Linked DNA regions of Drosophila melanogaster. The protein of the gene in region 2 interacts with the protein of the main gene of each other region in a pairwise test. Each region holds a gene or a part of one and is shown on either strand. Other genes may lie near its edges.

Region 1 (3,755 bases), on a different chromosome or scaffold from region 2:
TGTGTAAAGTAAATATGTGCAACCAGGACGCTAAATGTAACTTTAATTCTACCAACGAAACTTACGTTGGCGGGGGTTTGGTTTTGAAGTGCTTCCGGATTAGAGTACGTCTAAACATTCATTCCTCCAGCCAGGCATGGTATTTAGCAAAGCTTAACCTTCATATTTGGGGCTTCCTGAGGTGCGAGCTGGTTGAAAGTTAAGTAGCTGGCAAAGTAAACAGGCGGTTGTAATTCTATACTGATACTGCAGACATTCGTAAATCTTAGGTATTATAATTCCGGGAAGGGATGACGTATAGATAATTAATGAGGGAGCAAGTGAAATGCAAGACTTGAGTGGAACAGCCTTCGGTTTGAATGGTTTGACTCCCTTTGACTGCCTTTTTGCCGTCCCGCCTGATTTGCATAGTTTGGGGCTGACCGTCTACTCGCTCAATAATGAATGCGTCAGTTTCAAATGGCATTACCCCCGAAAACGAAGTTGATAGTCTGCGACAAGTAGTATGTGCAATGCTATGTGGCACCATAAATAACGTGGCCATTCTAGTGTCGCATTCTGGGTCCTTTTGCTTAGCAATGACAATAGTAAAAGTGCTGAAAGGGAAGCACGATTAGAGCTATTACTTACACTGGCTATGTTTATGTTTTTATATGTACTGTATGCATTCATGGCGCAGCAATTCTGCAAAATTTCTGCATATTTGTTAGGGTGGACCTGAGTTGTACTCATGAGTACTCATACAAATCACTCATACGTAGTGTGGACCTTTTCATTTGATTTTCACAAGGAAAGGCATGTCAGTATCCAAAAGCAATATTAAGTAAAATAAATGTCCTGGTTGGGATCTTACTTTCTCCATAAAAATAAAGTCATGGGATGTTTCCGAAAGAGGAATCGTGTTAGGAATCTATGTTAGCTTGCCTAACAGGTCGTATGAGTAATTTATTAAACGCTTGGCTTTCTTGTTATATCTGATCATTAACTTGTATATAGGCTATGATTCCCCATGAAAGTCCACCCTACGGCACGTACTCCGGTACTTGCACAGGCAATCAATAAAGATTTTTTTTTGGGGAGTTCGGGTGGCGGGTGCTTTGTCGCGATGCGGCAACAACAGCTGTTGCAACGCCAGACGACCCCCCAAAAAAAGGAAAACCGAGCAGCAGCCAGACGCCGGCAACCGGGGAACCTCATCATCGTCATCGTACTCCAGCACCACCCGTTTCAAGAAGCAATCAATGCACTTCTGGCCATGTGCCAAGTTTCTCTTCCGAAAACCTGGAGAGGAGCAGAGAATCGGCCAAAAGAGAGGAGCAGCGGTGTATAAGAGCTGGTTGGGTTCCATTCGGTTGCGGTTGAAAAGCTAAAGTTAATTTAAAGTTCAACCCGTTTGGTTTCTAACTTTTCGGAACTTTAACCGTGTATTTTGGGTTTGGTTTATATAGTTTGGTACAGTAGTAAAAGATACGAAACATTTGCGTTGAAATCAATTTCAAATTGTTGTTTAATTAAGAAGCCAAGTTCCTTATTTACGTAGGTGCTCACAGTGGAATATAAGAAATAATTGTTCCTAAAATAATCCTTTGTACACGAATACAAGAACTTACTCAATAGTTTAAAATGCTTACCTATATTTTTGTAACGAAATATAATTCATTTTACATACAAATAAAAATAAACCGAATTTATTTGCATTCAGCTTGGTAAATAATAGAGTAACTGCGTGACTGCATGCGATGCAAAATTATCTTTGAAGTGCAGACTTTTCGAGTTGTGCCGCGTCACTCGTTTACCCAAGGCACCCACACTGTCGCACTCGCAGACACACACACACACGCATACCAGTGCGGCCGTGTAGCAACAACAATGTTGAGCAAGGTGCGCTGAGCCTCGCTCTTTCGAATCTTTCTCTCCGTTTCGGTTTCAGTTCACTTCTGGCTCTCGTGCAAAGCGCATCGTACAGCGGATATATCGCATCTGTATCGTATCGTAAAACGAATCGTATTCGCATCCGTGTCGGTCGCATCTGCGTGCTAGTGTGTGTGAGTGTGCCCGGGTGTGTGCGAGTTGGTGTGTCCGCTGCAATGGTCTTGGCTATTTGAAGCGCAAAAGTGCAGTATTTACTGTTTGGTGATTCACTCAATCATTAGAATACCCAAGAGATAACTATCATATCTTGGGGTTTTCCCAACGAACCGATCCGATAAAATGGAAACCCTGTAAACTCATGCTCCCCCGCCTTAAAAATCGGTTCAGTGATTTACGTGTGGGTGTGGGTGCAGTGCTTAAATTATACACGTAAAATTTAAACAAATAAAGGCTGTTAAAAAATCGTAAACTCGAGATCCAGCTAGTGCCGAATTCAGTGCTAAAGTGAAACTTCTTTGTGCAAACAACAAAAACCGTTAATTGCCAGCGCCATTCTTTTAAAGGCCCCGACTTATAAAGAGTGTTTTCAGTGCCTATATGGTTTTACTTAAGTCTTTTGTTTATCGTTGTACCCATATTGTTTTCAGTTTATCAATATATAGATAATTATCTAAATGGAGGAGCTTTGTTAATTGATATAACAAGCCTTAAGCGTTAATGTTCCCATCTCATAGGTCCAAGTCAGAAAACCAATCCCCTTTCACTTTAAACAGATCAGAATCCAAGGATTAGGTCGCTTATTCTTTTTCCAAACTAATGAACAATTAAATGGCACGGCGTTGTTGGTCGCAAAGTTTCCATTGCCCGATGCAGAGACCCAAAACCAAAATAAACGGAACCCTTTCACTTTAAAATCCACAGAACCCCAAAGATCGAAAACGAGTTTCGCAAAAGAGCAAAGAGCCGAGCGGCGGCCATGCTTATATTCCATATCGAATAACTGAATAGCCGACCAATAAAGTGTTACTTGGCACATCCAACATCCAACGTTCAACTAGCAATCCAACTTACAATATCCAGCATCCAACTAGCTCCGTTGCATTGGCCTATATTCAAAATAGATCAGAGATCGACTCGAGAGACCGGAGGAGATGTGGATGAGGTGGTGACGAGGAGCTGCGGAGGAGATCGCCATGTGAGAAGAGCAAAACTAGTTTCCCATTTGCGCGCTTATGCTAAGTAATAATAATAAATAAGCGCAGTAGTCTCTGGCTTGCCGTTCGAGAAGTGACCTAAAAATACTGGTTTCGAGTGCGGTTTTGGCGTGAGAACGTGTAGCACAGCGAAGGCACCACCACCACCACCAATGGCCACCACAGCCGCCGGATCAGCAGCCACCACCACCAACACGATGGTGGTGAAGCGGCCAGGACCACCAGTGCCGCCCAGGCCCAAAGCAGCAGCTCAGCTGGCCAATGGAGCAGGAGCCCCTCCGATCATTCAGAAGAAGCCCACCTTCGTGAGCCAGCTGAGTGCAGTGGGTCGTACCTTGGTCTACAAGTCGCCAACGGTCAATCTGCCCAAGAAACAGGCCCAGACCCAGACGCCCACCACGGCGGTGCCAACGCCGCCGGTGAAGCCCCTGAAGCTGCGCAAGGCACCGGATGTGCCCACGGCCAAGCCCAGGGATTCAATGACCTCGGTGGTCACGGTCAACCGGCATAACTCGATAAGCGTGATCGGGAGCACGCCACAGACCACACCCCGCAAGGACACCCGCTTGAGCCTGGGAAAGGTGGACTTCGAGAGGGCGGGCCTCCAGCCGGCCAGTCAGCCACTTCCCAGGCCACGGAAAATTGTTCAAGTGCCCGTGGCCACTCTAG
Region 2 (3,270 bases):
TTGTTTTGATTGGGAAATTACTATAGTGCTGTAGCCATACTTACAAAAATACAGCTACAATTTGAAAATTTGGGCTTTAAATGCCTTTTTAAATTGAAGATACAAATTAATATAATATAATATAATATACATATATTATATATATAATATATAATTATATATATAATATAAGTTCACATTTCTTATAGTTGTAGATTACTACTGAAAAAAAATTGGATTACTAAACAAAACTTGTTTTGAGTTGAAGATTAATTGATCTTACATAGTGCCTGAAATTTGGAATTTTTTTAAACAGTCATCAATTTCTATGTTATATTCAGATAGAATTAATTCATTAAGGATATACTATTGTTCATATATGTACTACTATAAATGGTATAAGTAGAGTATTGAAAGCATAATTTAAACAACGAACAATAAACAATAATTGCTTGATAACGATTTAGAATAAAGTACTATCCAAGATAAATTTCAAAACACGTATAAACATCAAGCAACCAAATCGTGATAGATAAGAACTACCAGCCACATAAGTTAAGGTAAAAGCACTGATACCGAGTTCTTATCTAACTTCTAGTGAACTGGTAGCATAAAGTGTTTTTCCATTAAGAAATATGCCACAGAATTATTTTGAGCATGAAACATGGATTTATTTACATCAGTCGAAATGTGAAAGAAGAAAAACAAAACAGCAGGGTTGAGAGTTTAAGCATGGGATCGAGGTGAGGGTAAGCCAAAGTTGCTAGCCCACGCAATGCCATCCAGGACCTCCATCACATTTACCAGGACGGAGCCCAGCCATGGCCAGCCCAACCATGTCCGGCCCACGGAGACGAGAGGAGGGTCGTGTGGAGGGCAGGAGCCGCATAAGTCTTGATGATGGGAGCGGCATAGGTCTTCACCACCGGAGCCACAATCGGTTGGATGATGTGGGCCGAGCTGTGCACCTGGCTGATGCTCTGGTGGGAGACGGCACTGGGCACGGTCTTGATGATGGCGCCCACCTTGGCCAGAGCCGGTTCATGGATGATGGCAGGAGCGGCATAGCTGTGGAGCAGTGGACCAGACTCCAAATAACCCGGACGGGCAGCCACGACGGCGAGCAGAGCGAAGAACACCACCTTTTCGATGAAAATTATAGCATTAGGTCCAGAATCATGTGACTTGGCCATAGGGTAGACTCACCAACTTGTACATTTTGCTAATCCTTGCGATCCTGGTGCGCTAGCTATTGGCTGAACTACTGAACTGTTGGTCTGTGTTGACGCCTCGCCGATTTGTGTGGTTAGCTCCAAATTTGCAGCGGCTTTTATAGTGCCCAAAAAGCCGAGCAGAGCCCATGTGCAACCGAATCTTAAAATGCAGAAAATACAATAATAATAATTTTCTTGCTCTTTTTTTTTTGGCCATTTGCTATTTTCCTCCTTCAAGCATCGTTAAGAAAAGCTGAAAAATAACGCCAACGGGGAGTTCGCCGAGTTTGCATGTGCAGCAGCTGATTCGCTTTGTCTTCGGCCAGCTTTTTGGCCAGAAAATACCAGCACACCCCACTCCCCCCACAACTCGGCAAATGCCCAAATGGCCAACTGACCGAGTGTGGTGGCCACTGCCCACCTAAGACATCGTACCCCATTAGGTTGCAAAAAAAAAAGAAATAGAAACCAGTCAAAATGTAATGTCTGACCGAATGGGTTGAGCTCACAGACGTTAGGTTTCTGGCCCATTCGGGCAGTTGGCCAGCAGCCGCCACTTTCAGCACTTCAGGCCAAGACGGGTGTCGCTGAAAATGTGCTTCGCACTTGTCATTTTCCTCCTCGCAACTGACCGTGAAAATTTCCCCTAGCTGCAACACGCACAGCAGCCGCAAACCGAACTCGCCCAAAGTAGTCCAAGTTCAATGGAAACGCACTTGCGTGTATCTGTCATGGCCAAAACATAACTGGCTCTGATGTCCGGAGGGGCGGGGGGATTTGCCTCTTCGGCTGTTTCGTCTGCGGTAGAAGGCCAACGGAGGCGGAGGTAATAGCGGTGGTAATGGAGGAGGTAGTGGTAATGGTAATGCTATCGTCACCGCGTTGAGAAAGGAATGTGCGCAAACTCGCTGGCCAATTTGTTTGCCCATCACGTCGGCCAACGAACGCGAAACGAAATGAAAATGAATTTCTTCATATTTTAACAAGCCTCACAGTGGTTTTTAATGTTTACTTCATTTCGCTTTCAGTGCGGAGATGAGTAGGAAAATACTATCACGAGAATTTCGAATAGTTATATCTGGAGAAGTACTTCGGAACTTTTGGAAGTGAGTACATAGTTTTAAGAAAATATAAATGAGAATTTCTTTTTGAACTGTATGAGTATCATTTTTCTTGCCTCCTTAAATAGTAAAACGTGTGCTATAATAAAAATATCTAATTGATTTTATTATATATTAAATTCCAAAACAAAATTGTAGCTTCATGAGCAGTGCTATTTATTACATTTTCCTTTACTAAACTTAAAAATATAAAATAAATTTTATTTAATTTTTTCTTATTTTTCAGATGTAACATATTTAAGATATCTAAACCGAATTAATCTCCGAATATACTTTGCTTTACTGTATCTTTTATTTCTTTGGGCAACGACAGCACTCCCTTCCTTTCTCCGCCCCTTTTTTTCCGTTCGCATTTTCAGGTTATGCTAATCTCGGCCTGCAATTGTCTGGCATAACAATGGCCAGCTAGACGGGCCAGCGATAAAGCACCAGAAGGCGCAAATCCAAAGACCGCCACAATCACAGCCACATCCCACATAGAACCGCACTCGGGACTGGTCTGGAGTTCCGCTTTGTGTAATAAGCAAACATCGATGGCGATTGCGCAGGCGCGCAGATCACTCATACGCCATGGACGCAGTGGTGGCGGCAAAAAGGGGATTAAGATATATATGATGATTTTCCTGACTAACCACTTTAGATCTTTGGCTACTTGGTTGTCACCTTACATCCCGTTTTTAATGATCCCCTCTAATATTTTTTGCATTTGCCACTGCTTGCAAGTGACAAACACAACTGTACCTTCAATGGTGTTCAACTGTAGTTGTATTTACCGCCGTTATGGTGATTTGTCAGCAATTTTTAGCATGATTAATGAATGTTTCAATCCGGCGACACAACTCCCTCTTCCTCCAACCCACCGCTTTGTTAGCCGAAATTCTTGAGTGACTTTTAATAGATTTGAGTCTATTTCTGTTAAATTCCTTGGCAATATCCGGGCTGTGTGCTTTTGCCAC

What was found. The genes of interacting proteins can lie anywhere in the genome.
Region 1: the proteins of CG13042 (region 2) and CG31038 interact in a two-hybrid assay, tested with the Drosophila melanogaster proteins (one large-scale study listed by BioGRID).

What each region holds. Positions count from the first base shown.
Region 1 is NT_033777.3:29,875,134-29,878,888, forward strand, and holds the start of CG31038 (uncharacterized protein), read left to right. Parts: upstream 1-1,925; 5' UTR 1,926-1,982; exon of another isoform or gene 1,983-2,793; 5' UTR 2,794-3,238; coding exon 3,239-3,755.
Region 2 is NT_037436.4:16,307,219-16,310,488, forward strand, and holds CG13042 (uncharacterized protein), read right to left. Parts: upstream 1,263-3,270; 5' UTR 1,198-1,262; coding exon 1,186-1,197; intron 1,122-1,185; coding exon 780-1,121; 3' UTR 628-779; downstream 1-627.